Oryctolagus cuniculus: one gene and its partners. The protein of the gene in region 2 purifies or fractionates together with the protein of the main gene of each other region. This does not show direct contact. Links are inferred from orthologs where the notes say so. Each region holds a gene or a part of one and is shown on either strand. Other genes may lie near its edges.

The links.
Region 1: the proteins of FBXO45 (region 2) and FBXW7 purify together in Homo sapiens (affinity purification with mass spectrometry; 4 studies listed by BioGRID and IntAct, counting the BioPlex papers as one, with this or other methods). This does not show direct contact. The link is inferred for Oryctolagus cuniculus from reciprocal best matches to the Homo sapiens genes FBXO45 and FBXW7.
Region 3: the proteins of FBXO45 (region 2) and MYCBP2 purify together in Homo sapiens (affinity purification with western blotting; 7 studies listed by BioGRID and IntAct, with this or other methods). This does not show direct contact. The link is inferred for Oryctolagus cuniculus from reciprocal best matches to the Homo sapiens genes FBXO45 and MYCBP2.

Annotation. Positions count from the first base shown.
Region 1 is NC_091439.1:12,202,415-12,206,480, reverse strand, and holds part of FBXW7 (F-box/WD repeat-containing protein 7), read right to left. Parts: intron 3,120-4,066; coding exon 2,983-3,119; intron 2,078-2,982; coding exon 1,964-2,077; intron 337-1,963; coding exon 155-336; intron 1-154. UniProt on the Homo sapiens protein: Substrate recognition component of a SCF (SKP1-CUL1-F-box protein) E3 ubiquitin-protein ligase complex which mediates the ubiquitination and subsequent proteasomal degradation of target proteins.
Region 2 is NC_091435.1:83,074,964-83,079,540, reverse strand, and holds the start of FBXO45 (F-box/SPRY domain-containing protein 1), read right to left. Parts: upstream 3,060-4,577; 5' UTR 2,765-3,059; coding exon 2,444-2,764; intron 1-2,443. UniProt on the Homo sapiens protein: Component of E3 ubiquitin ligase complex consisting of FBXO45, MYCBP2 and SKP1. Functions in substrate recognition but also plays an important role in assembly of the complex.
Region 3 is NC_091440.1:35,120,469-35,125,008, reverse strand, and holds the start of MYCBP2 (E3 ubiquitin-protein ligase MYCBP2), read right to left. Parts: upstream 3,027-4,540; 5' UTR 2,676-3,026; coding exon 2,374-2,675; intron 1-2,373. UniProt on the Homo sapiens protein: Atypical E3 ubiquitin-protein ligase which specifically mediates ubiquitination of threonine and serine residues on target proteins, instead of ubiquitinating lysine residues.

The DNA of each region.
Region 1 (4,066 bases), on a different chromosome or scaffold from region 2:
CATGGCTTTCCTAATACAGACACATCTGAGGCTTAATGAGGGAAGCCTAATTCAAGAGTACATTCTCAATATCTTTGTAGCTGCACAGAAAGGCCACCACTTCCCAAGTAACAGAGGACGAAGCCCCAGCTATGATGACACCATTTTCCCTTACCGTTTCTCATGAAGATGCATACAGCGCACAGTGGAAGTGTGCCCATATAAGGTGTGTATACATTCTCCAGTCTCTGCGTTCCATACTTTGAGGGTCCTGTCTGTAGATCCACTAATGATGATGTTGTCTCTCATCTGGGATGACCATACTCCACCTGTATGTCCCACTAATGTCCTCAGGCACTGGAAAAATACTTAAGATGATTACTTTTGGGTAGAAAGGAAAGTGATTTAAATAACAGTGTAATAGCTCATTAAAATTTGCTGTGAAATTACTTCTTCAATTTGGTCCATCAGAAAATACTTTTTGCATCTCAACTTAAGAAGGTGCCATCACTATTCACTGCTTTGTGTATTCAGTAGCATTACGTACTTACACACACATACACACGCACAGATGAAGAACAAATATGTAGACAACGAACATGTTATACAACTTGCGATAGGAGAGAAAGCAAACACATGATGTGAAAGTGAAGTATGATAGCTCCAGCCTGGCCTCTGAGGAAATAACACTAAAACTGCAACTCGGTTTCTTCCACGTATGTAATAGATTTAATGAAAGAATGCCAACAGTGTTGGGTGTGCCTACATACCACATTTCATCTGAATTTGCCCCAAGGCAGTAGTTAGGAGCCAGCCAAGCTACTTCTAGACAAGTAAAGACATACATTAAAACCCTGAAATAAATCCAAAACTAATATTACACCATGGAAATATGAAGCTTCTTTTTCAACATTTAAGCATCTGACTTGGAAGATTTCTAAGACTCTTGCCCAAGAAGTAACATGGTAAAGACATAAGATTTTTATTCTGTCTCTCGTCTATTATTTTTAAGGTGGCAGTTACTTAATTCATGATAACATTCTCCAGTGGAAAAATAAAAATAAATATTCACTGGAGTCACCAGAGTAGAATTTTTTTTTTTTTTGGACAGGCAGAGTGGACAGTGAGAGAGAGAGAGAGAGAGAAAAATCTTCCTTTGCCGTTGGTTCACCCTCCAATGCCGGCGCGCCGCACTGATCCGATGGCAGGAGCCAGGTGCTTCTCCTGGTCTCCCACGGGGTGCAGGCCCAAGCACTTGGGCCATCCTCCACTGCACTCCCTGGCCACAGCAGAGAGCTGGCCAGGAAGAGGGGCAACAGGGACAGAATCCAGCACCCTGACCGGGACTAGAACCCGGGGTGCCGGCGCCGCAAGGCGGAGGATTAGCCTAGTGAGCCACGGCGCCGGCCATCAGCGTAGAATGTTGTATGCGCTCTGGCTCAGTGCTGGAAAGCTTTTATCTTCAAACTAGTATTTGGATACCTACTTTGCTGACCTCCCAGCTCACAGCAGTCAGAGGAAGGTCTGAATTGACACGATTTGCTTAACTGAGGAGCTACAGGTAGCTTATCAATGAAGCAGTTATTAAAGAAAGAAGAAAAAAATAAACAACCCTCAATCAGACTTTTTTGCAAAACATTAAAAGTAATGATGTATAACTTAAGAGTGTTAATCAAGGAGGGAAAAACAGAGCCAAGAAAAAGACCACATCTGCAACACTTCAAAACAGCTGGGTCACAAAGACAGGCTAACAGCTTACAGGGTGACGGTGCCAGCGACCTCCCTGTGGTGAGAAGCACAGCGGTGCCCATGTGACTTTCCTCAGTGTGGGGGGTGGGGGGCTAAGTTAGAACCCCTGATACTTGCTATCAAAATAAGCAAGAATCAAAAAGGAATCGCTGCTTTCCTTTGATTAGTGGATCCTTACAAAAGTCATAATACACAAAACGGTGACTCTGGGACGTGTAGAAAGAAGTGAACTTACTTTGCCGGTGACCGCGGACCACACTTTCAACGTGTTGTCATCAGAACCACTAACTATTCGGTTACCGCAGAACTGTAAGCACGTGATCACGTGATCATCGTGTCCTTTCAGCACCTGCAAGAGAAATGTCCGCATTAAAAATGTGCCGGTAGGTCAAACTCTCAAATACCAGTAGCACGGAAAATAGGAACAATAATCTGTAGTCTACTTCTAGAATTAAAATTTATATGAAGTAAGAAGCATCACCCTTTCTGGCTGATGAATCAAGTATTAAACGTTGTATTATTTCCATATTGCATTATTTATACTTGAAACACTGACCATTAAAATTTAACTTTTATTTATCAAGACCTCCTACAGATGGTTCAAACCCAAATGTATTTTATAATCATCTACTTTGCTTAAACCAAGAGAATATGCATCTAATTTCTGCAATTTTGACACACATCATGTACTAACTACAAAGACGGGAATGAAAATAGCTTTTCAATTCACGGTATATACTATTAGCATGACGGTGTCTCCCCAGATTGTTTCTTCCCAGTGGTAAAAACGTGATAGCTAAGAGTTTCAAGCATTTCTACATTTCATATATTTCCAATGTTGTAAGACAGAAAAACCAGAATTACATTTCTGTTTATAAAAATAAAAACACATATGAATGATCAAAAACCGAAACACAGATTCTCCTTAAAGAAATCAAGTTTGGATTATGAGGTCAAAGGAGGCAGCACATCTTTAGTGGCAAATATATGATGCAATAAAATCCAATGGAATATTCAGAGACTTTCATTTACATAAGACAGACATTCAATTCATCTCATTTTTTATTCAGGTACAGTTGGTTGCCAGACGAGAGATATTAGCAATACAGGAATACTGTCGGTTACACTTTCAGTTATTTTTAAATTCATTGTTTTCTTTCTACAGAAGATAGATGTCAAGAAGCGCAACACGAGAGCACACCAGGCTCTCAGGCTGGTCATGGCTCCTGTTACGGCACGCGAGAGTTCCGTTACCTTAGGAGACTTGAGCTCTCCTCGCCTCCAGTTGGTGTCGATTCTGTGCTGTCTGATGTATGCACTTTTCCATGGACTGTGTATGAAACCTGGTTTTATTACTTTTCTTCTCTTGATGTGCAATGGTTCATCAATTCCTAAAGTGTTAAAGAGTTCAGGAGTATAACTGCCTTCACCAATAATAAACACCACACATTTTCAAATGTATCTCATTTTCCTCAATGCTCAAAACCACTGAAATGCAGGACATTGTCCAATACTGAATACTGTTATTACGGCATGTAAAATTAATATATGGCATATTTTTACATTCAGTATTTCATTTCTTTCTCAAAATGACTGCAGGAAATGTTGATGAGGATATGAAGAAATTGAAGTGCTTGTGTACTCTTGTAACGCAAAGTGGTGAAGCCATGGAAAACAGCAGAGTGGCTCCTCAAAACACTTTAGCACAGAAGTAATGTATGACCTCGCAGTTCCACTTCTGGATATATACCCTAACCTCTCTAGAAATGAGAGACCCCAACAGATATACAGCTGTACATTCATGTTCGTTCACAGCCGTATCATTAATAACTGTCAAAAGGGGGAAATAATCCAGTGTCCACTGGCAGGTGAATGGGTCAACAAAATATGGTTTTTACATACAGCAGGGTATCACACAGCCTTAAAAAAGAAGGAAATTCTGACCCACGTTATGACACAGATGGACCCTGAAGACATGCTAAGTTAAGGAAGCCAGTCACAAAGAGACAATGCTGTATGATTTCACCCACCTGAGATCCCCGGAGCAGTAAAACGTAGGGGGACAAAAAGCACAAGGGTGGCTGCTGGGGGCTCGGGGGAGGAGGGGGAAGAGCTGCCCACAGCAAGTATGGAGGCTCAGCTAGGCAAGAGGAAGAAGCTCTAGAGGTGCATGGCGGTGACCCTGCACAAAACGTGAAGCACCCGGCACCACTTCCAGATGGTTACATGACAGATTTTGTTATGGCTTTGTCACCACTTTGTAAAAAGACATCTAAAACGGACTCTATGGTAAAGGTAAGGCAGAGCTATGAACCCCACGTTCTGTATACAGATAATT
Region 2 (4,577 bases):
GTCTTCCATCTGCTGGTTCACTCCCCAGATGACCGCAACGGCCAGAGCCAAGCTGATCTGAAGACAGGAGCCAGCAGCTTCCATTGGGTCTCCCACACAGTGCAGGGGTCCAAGGACCTGGGCCATCCTCCACTGCCCTCCCAGATCATAGCAAAGAGCTGGATCTGAAGTGGAACAGCCGGGACTTGAATCGGTGCCCATATGGGATGCCGGAACTGCAGGCCAGGGCTTTAACCCACTGTGCCACAGCGCCAGCCCAAGCACTCATATTTTTAAATAAAAATATATATTGTACAGACTCTTTGCCTTCCTGTTGTTCTGTTTCTGCTCTCTTTGTACAACTTTCAGATCATCCTCAAAATTCAGCTCAAATACAATTCATCCTCAAATCTTCTCCAATCCTCCAAATTGCAAATTTCTCCTGTCACGAAACTATTCTAGCATGATTTTTTTTTAATTTAACAGGTAGAGTTACAGACAGTGAAAGGGAGAGACAGAGAGAGAGGTCTTCCTTCCATTGGTTCACTCCCCAAATGGCCACTACGGCTGGAACTGGGCTGAATCGAAGCCAGGAGCCAGGTGCTTTTTCCAGGTCTCCTACGCAGGTGCAGGTGCCCAAGCACCCATGCCATCTTCTGCTTTCCCAGGCCACAGCAGAGAGCTGGATCAGAAGAGGGGCAGCCGGGACTACGAATGGCACCCATATAGGATACCGATGCCATAGGTAGAGGATTAACCTACTGCGCCACAGCACCAGCCCTTCCTATATGTTTTTTCTATCATTGATACAATGGAGCAATTTCTACCATGCAATACAGTTACTTTTATATATTTTTTTCTCTTCTATTAGCCTGGGGATTTCCCTATTAGCCTGACTCTTTTTGAAATTAATCTCGTATCTTCAAGTTATTCAAGGAAAGTCCTGCAACATCTAAGTGAACATGAGATTAGTATAAGCCTACAGCACCTCCAGTGCACACTGCAGAAAAGCAAAGCATTAAAGACTTAGAAAACCCACAATCCTGCAGGAAGGATACAGAAGAAATTACAGCTTTAGACTTCTTCCAAGCAGGCAACTAGGTAGCAGGGGGACAAGGGCCAAAAGAAACACTTTGCTATATCTCATTTTGCTTCTATTGAAGCTTAACTCACATGGACACATTATCCATTACATACTATATGAATCTTGACTTAAGCCAACATATGTAACATGTCACAAATTAATTGCCAAAAAGTTGTAATTTAAAACCCAAACCAACAGACTTTATGGAAAAATAAAAGCTAAATAAAACCTGAGAAATGTTCATATTGACCAGGCAAATAGGACAAAACTGCAATTTTCTGCACTCTCCTACATAAATTTCACCTAGTATACACATACTGTCCTAGTAAAATGTTACTTTATTTGCTAAAAAAACAGCTTGATAGTTTACATATTTAACAGCCAAGTTCCTTATCTTATTAACTAAAGGCCATCTCACAGAAGAATACATTTTGTACTTCACATAAAAAAGCCTTTCTTACTTCGATACTGCCCCAGCAGTCTCCCACACTTCAGGTCAGGCGTCCTCTGACATATATGCATGCATATGCATACACACACACACTGCTGTGCTGAATGACTGTCACCCAGTCGCAAGCCCAAGGCTTTTTATTTTTATGGGCTGAAGCATCTTCTCCTCCTACCATAACCTGTCATTTTTATTTGGTATATGAAGGTGTCAGGAATATACCCAAGAATCTAAGAGAAAAAAAAAGCAGTAGTGAAACTGGAATCAGCACACTAGACGACACATGGACACAGCCCCGACACACCAAGGTGGGACTATGAAAAAGTTGGCAACCAACAGCCATTAAGAGCAGCCACAAGGCAGTACCACGCCGGTTAAGTGGTGCCGCAGGAGGTTCTGGCTGTGCCTGTATCTTCAAAGTTAGCAGGCACACTCACTCATAAGCCTGAAATAACAGTGGAGGGGACGAAAGAGAACTTGGGCAAAAATACAGGAAAAAATGGTGAGGGATCAGAGCTTGGAAAGGTCTCAGAAATCAAGGCGAGGTTAAAGCAACCGAGACGACTTAGTATAATAGAAGTATCTGGAGGCCAGAGGGGAAACAGGGTGAGTAGGGAAAGGCACAACAATAGCGGTGGTCTGTCTGTAGGAACAAAGTCAGTCCAAAGTGGAAGGAGTGATGGAAATCAGGGATGGGGAACCATGCCGCCTTTGAAAAAGTCATCGCGGAAGTGGGGCGGGTTAAAGAGAAGAACTTCATTCCAGAGAAAAGACGATCTTTGCGGGGGCGGGAGGGTGAGGAAGGTACCGACGCGAGCGTGGAAAGGCGGGATGGCGAGGCGAGCCGTCTGACTCAGAAGCTTCGCGGCAAGCACCGCGAGCGGCGCCAAGGAGCGCGCCAGGGGCAGCGGCGTGGCCCGGGGTTCCCTCACCTTGGCCTTGTAGCTGGGCAGGTTGCAGAGGATGTCCGTGCGCAGAGCCTCCTCTGCCAGGCTGCGGGCGCACAGGCTCCGCCACACCTCGCTGTTCTCGTCGCCGTGCAGGCAGCGGTACCAGTGCTTGCACACCAGGGCGCAGCTCCGCAGCTCGGACAGCTCCAGGTACGAGAACACCAACTCCAGCACCCGGCTGGGCAGCCGGCCCCCGGCCCCCGCGGACCCGGAGCCCGAGCTCGCACCCGCGCCGCCGCCGCCGCCGCCACTGCAGCCAGCACCGCCCGAGGCTGCCCCAGCCCCCGGGGCTGGAGCCGCCATCGCCTCACCAGCCGGCCCGAAGGCCGCCGCCGCCGCCGCTACCCCCCGTCTCTGCGCGAGAGGCCGAGCCTCGCCTTGACACCGGAGCAGCTCGCTCACCGCCCCTTTCAGTGCCAACCGCCGGCGCCACCACCGCTCCCGCCCCTGCCCGGGGGCGTCCGCCGCGCGCCCCGCCTCACTGAGGGCAGACGCACCGGCTGCACGGGCGTCCCCCGCCCCTCCCCCGCGGCTCAGCCCGGGCGCCGGAACCGCCCGATTCGCCTGGCCTCCCCGCGGCGCGCCCGTGGCTCCGCCATGCGGGTTGAGGGCACGAAGCAAGGGCGCACGCCCAGCTCGCTCGCGGTTCCTCTCGGCCCCGGATGTGACTGTTTGGCTGAGGCGCCTCGCGCCCTACGCTTGATGGGATTGGGCGCTCGCGGGTGAGGTCATCACGAGGCGCCGAGGAGGGGAGCGGGAAACGCAGGTACGAGGCTGTCGCCGGTGGGTTCGGAGCTCTCCTCCAGTAGCTTGTTCTCTTTGTGGTAGCAGCCTCGCGTCGGCTTTCCTGGGTGGCTTTTCTTATGAAGTTTCTTGCGAGAGTTAGGTCTCTGCTTCCCGCGGCAGCTTAACGCATGAAACTTGCCTTGGTAGCTAGTTCCTTGTTCCGCCACCTTCGGTATGGTTATCTTTAGCCTAGGCAGCTGAGGCAGTCTCTTCTTGGCCTGGCCTAGTCGTTCTCCCCCTGTATCGGTACTTAAAAGAACTGATGTCCCAGCTAGCGTTCGGAAAGTAAGATGGCTACATCTGAACACCATCCCACGCCCCCCCACACACACCAAAAAAAAAAAAAAAAAAACTGGATAACTTAAAGTGCCATTTGAGTACTAATTAAACGCTACAGTATTTTGGACAAAATGTGGTCTTTCCCAGATCACCACTTAGTAGGCAGATTAAGGCAGTGGGCGAAGTATTCAATTAAATGTTTCAGTAGAATGACGTGGAGGCTGTAATTACAGGTGTTTTCTTGGGAGGAGAAGAGTTTGAGCATTATTTGATCATACTGCGTTTCCCTAGGTGGCCCCCAGACAGCATTTTAAGGACGTTTAGTAAAAGGGTGACCACCACTTGATCCATGATGTGAGCCAGGCACTTCCCGATAGTCGGGCCCTTGACCCATTTTTTAATCTAATTCCCAGAACAACTCTATGAGGTAGGTAAGTGTAATAATAGGTTTGCAAACATCCTTCCTAGTCGGCTCCAGTGTTTTGCCTCCTTTATGTGGGTGCAATCCATTTCTTGGTCTATGAAGAACAGCTAGCTTTCAAACTCTGATGTAATTACTTGTTTTATGACTTGCTGATGTCTTCTTTCCTGGTGTCTTTTTGACCAAGCTCAGTAACCCACATTCTTTTCATTCTCGGTAATGCCAGTGGTACAGCCCTTTAATTGTTTTTGATTGATCTCCAGCTTGACATCAGGAGGAACTTGTGAAACCTGGAACCTGTAGAGAGGAGTTGGCCTATACCGGCTATAGTGGTGGTGACTCTTTCAGGTGATATTTCTTGAGTTTGGACTAAGTTTTACCTGAAAAGACAGTTGTGTTTCTTTTAAATCGTCCAGGGTTTGGAGTCGTCCATCTGAGAAGGGGGTACAGAACCATGCAAGATGAGCAGGTTTATGGGCATGGGCACTTGAAAAGGGAACTGGGTGAGTGGAGACAGGAGTGAAGCAGAGGAGTGTTGAGAGTACTGACCTCCGAGCTGTTAGCAGCTCTGATCTTTCTTCCTGCGTGTAACAGTGAAGGTGAGGGGAGCCTGCGAAGTGCTCACGTCAT
Region 3 (4,540 bases), on a different chromosome or scaffold from region 2:
ACTCCTTTACTCTCTTGGTTTGTAATTACACTCCCACATTTGTGTAACCCACCTACCCTCCCATACTTGATACTCTTTCTTCAAATCTGAAGCCCCCCAAGTGACCCTAACCCCTTTCCATTCACTCTTCATCACATTCCTCTTCTATGACCACTTCCTCAGAAGTTCTCAGTGACCTGAAAACTCTTCTCACTTTCTTCTCTTCTTAATTTTCTGACCTCTTGTTTCATTTTCCTTCATTGTTGCTTTTCTCTCACATTTTTAAAACATGATGCTCACCAGTTTCATTCTCTATTCTTGCTCCATTCTGTCTGAATGATCTCAACTTCTCTAATGTTGTCCACCAGCACCCTTAAACATTCACATCGTAAATCCCAGATGTACTTTCCCCATCATTTTTAACAAGATACGTGACTGCACTCTTAATCAAATCCTCAAAAATGAGGATCTGCAGGCTAAATATTAGAAAACAAAATGAACTGTAATAAACAATGTTATGAACAAGCAGCAGCAAGCAAAATCATGCAACATAAGGCTGGTTTCCTTGGGTATTTCTGGAAAAACTTGAACTACTTCTTTATACGTTGTCATTGACAGTTTGTACAAAATGGACCAAAGACTAAAATCATTCATAAGTTTTGGGTATATGATTAATGTACATTAGTTCTGCTTAAAAGTGTGAATACAGTTCTACAGATATAAAATCGTATTATTATACAAGTATAGTAGTTGAAAGTTAAAAAAGGAATAAGTAGTCACAAATTATTGCATAAGTCTGGGAACCACACACAAAAGAAATTTAAAGTCCCTGAGGAGGCCTGCACAAATACAGCTACAGAGCCATAATTCAGAGACTCATAGCTCAAAATCACACCCAATTATCAGGAAAAAGCTGTATAATGTGGCTCTGTGCTATTTTCAAAAACACTAGCATGAAACAAACTTGTGCCACAGGGCCTTCATGTTAAAGAGCAAAGGGCGTTGTTTATATACGTTTCTGTCCATATGACAGAGCCACTCACATGCCTAATCCAGTAGACAATCACAGAACTGCCAAGACTGGTTTACCCAGAAAAAGTGTGAACAAACCTCCATCTTTACAACTCTCCTCAGTGAATAAGTCACAAGACATAGTGACAGACTACGAATATCCGATTTACAGCCTAGCCCCTTGCATAACAGAAGAACAGGACACCTGGTTACTGCCTAATAACCTGCACATTCAATAAACACAGTAAACCCTTCAACTCATTCGACAAAATTCTACTATGCTCTCCTCACGCAGTGCAAGAAGCTCCGTGAGAAGGGCTGAAGCCAACTCCCCAGAACCACCATCAAAGCTGGTGAAGCAAGTCAGTCACCATCCCTCAGGGTCTGTGGCATGTTAAGGCAAGGAGAAGAAAACAATAGCAGAGCCCTCAGCAAAAAAGGCACCCACGTTTTGAGAAAAAGAAAACGAAAGTGATTTAACATCCACATCAAGGAAACTGAAGGTGCAGCCAGCCCAAATGGAAGAGATCCAGGAGCTTCTCAAAATTTCGAGCCGGTGGCAGCTGAACACTACACCAGCCGTCATATTTTGAAGTTCTCCGGTGCTCCCTGTTTCCCTACAAAATCCCCTGCCCTCTGAAGCCTGCAAGTAATAGAGGAAACAGAACAGAAGATGAAGAGAAATGGCCGATGGGACAGCAGAACACAGGAGCAGCTGCGACCACATTTCCAGAAGACCCAAAGGCCCAGAGAGCAGATCTAAAACCCTCCGTCAGGCTCCCTTCGCACCCACAGAAATCTCCATTTGCATCTCTTATTCATAAATCTTTGAAAAGGAAACCTCGTGCCTAGCCTCCTGCCTGATTATCACGAATTCATTCTGCAAAAAAGACGTTCTTCTTCATCTATATCAGTGTCCTCCTTAATGAATGGCAGATATCTTTAAAGGGGGGGCGGAGGTCTGGCTAGAAAAGGGAGGGAGCAATGGCATGCGGGGGGGGGGGGTGCGGCGTGCAAATAACATTGCGGCAGAGACACTGCGAACGCCACTTCCTTCACCACTTCTCTTCGGGTATTACCCTAGTGTCCTCGACCATGCCTCCTCCTTCCTCAACAATACACACACGTGTCAGGACCGACCCAGCACCATCATCGTGTCCAGTATCACACGCGACTGCCGCCCTCAATAACCCCCCACATGGGCAGACACACACTCGAGAGCAGAAACTGCAGCCACCGCACCCTCCCGAGATCCTGGGAAACGTTTCTGGGGCCTCGCATCAATGAAAGCTCGAGAAACGCAGACGTGAACACACACACACACACACACATACAGGCGCACACGAGGCGCGCGGCGCAAGGACGGCACCCTTGGAGACTCACCTGGAGGCCGGGTGTCCGGAGCTGCTGCCCCCCTGGTCCCTGTCACTGAGCGCGGCGGTGTAAATCCTCCGGTAGCGGTCGGCCAGGGCGCGACCTGACAGCAGCAGCTGGTACTGACCCCGGGTGTCCGCGGCGGGCAGCCCCAGCCCCAGCCCCGCGGCAGCCACGGAGCCATCGGGAACCGGCATGAACAGCGCTCCCGGTGCCGGGGAGGAAGAGAAGGTGGCGGCTGCGAAGAATCCGTCCCCTCCGGGCCCCGAGGAGGCGGCGGCGGGGGAAGCAGTCGCTGCGCACATCATCATCTTCGCCGCCGCCGCCGCCTCGTCCCCGCGGGCCGGGCGGGCAGACACGCGCGCGCACACACACAGCCCTTTTCCAACGACGTCGGCTCCGGTGGCGGCCTCTGGCTCCCACAGCGGGGAGACTACAAAGACAGCGACCTTCTCCTCCTTCTCCTTCTCCTCCTCCTCCCCCCCGCGCCGCCCTCGCCGCTACTGGGGCCGCTCATCTAACCCCGCCACCCGGGGAGTGTGAGGAGGAGGCGGTGCCGCCGCTGCCGCCGCCACCACCGCTGCCACCGCCGGGGCTACCCGCAGTGGGAAGCTGCCGGCCGCACTGAGCATGCGCCACGCTTCGCACATGCTCAGTAACTCGGCCTCCCCCCCACCCTCCTCAGCCACCACTCCCTCCGCCCCCAGGGCTTTGGGTGTGGGGCGACTGGGTGGTGCGGTTTGTGAAAGAAATCCACTTCTCCAGGATTTCCTAGCAGCTTAAGGAAGAGTGAGGACAGTGTTGGGCAAGGCTGCCTGCTACCGGCGTTTCAGGTAATGGGTTCCCTCCAGGTGGGAGACTTAGAACCTGAGAGAGAGGCCTGGAGCCCCGCGCCGGAGCGCGCAGCACTGCCACCTGCCCCCCAGCTCTGTGCTGCCAGCGCCAAGGTTTATTGTGAGCAGGACTGGTTAATTCAGAATTGGGGACGGCCTGCAGCGCCTGCACTCCATCCATAGGGACGCAGGTTCGAGTCCTGGCTGCTCCATTTCTGATCCAGCTCCCCGCTAATGCGCCTGGGAAAGTACCAGAGGACGGCCCAAGTGCTTGGGCCTCTGCACCAGGTGAGACCCGGAAGAAGCTCCTGGCTTCTCGCCATTGCGGCCATATGGGGAGTGAACCAGCGAGTGGAAGGTCTTTCTGTCTCTCCTCCTCTTTCTCTTCTCCTTTTTCTCTGTAATTCTTTCAAATAAATAAATCTTTTTAGGAAAGAAAAAAAAAAAAACAGAATTAGTCGGTAGGCTAGTATTCACAAATCAGTCATTCATGCGCAGGACATCACAGCTGAATCTTGATGCAAGAATGTTTTCTTGTGTGTTGTGTTGACTCCTCAGGCACACTAAGGGTACACTATGTTCTCTTGACGGTGGTCCCTTAACAGCTTATCTTTTTCGGCCAAGACTCCTGTTATTAAAGATGTCTTAAATATAACCTGAAACTATGATTGTGACTAAGATTGTATAACATCTGATTATGTCAGATCTACCAAAGATCGCACCTTTGTTATGTCTAAAAAGTGACATGGGCTGAATCCTCTGTTCGGAGCTAATCTGCTAACCTCATTGCATGCTCTGGAAATAAATGCACCAGTGCACCCTGATTCCTGTTAAGTTTTATCCTTTTGACTCCAAACCCTAATTTACAGTCATTTCTAAGTCTTATAAGCCCAGTACTACATCCTTCAACTATTCAATTACGCACTAGTTCTCATCTCTGTGCCTGTTCTTTGAATGTCTTCTCTTTAAAAATGACAAAAAGTCCTGCTTATTGTTTAATAAATACAGTGGGTGCAGAAGTTAATTAATTCTTGCTTTGCAGAGGAAGGGTGCTGGCAGTAGTATTGTTTAGCTATTGTTTAAATAATAGATGGCTAACACTTAGAGCTTTTTATTTTTTATTTTTAAAAGATTTATTTATTTTTTATTTGAAAGGCAGAGTTACAAAGAGGAGAAACACACACATACAAAGAGAGAGAGAGACTTTCCATCCACTGGTTCACTCCCCAAATGGTCACAATAGCCAGGGTTGAGCCAGGCCTAAACCAAGAGCCAGGAACCCCAACTGCATCTTCCACATGGGTGTCAGGGGCCCAGGCACCTGGGCCATCTTCCGATGTTCT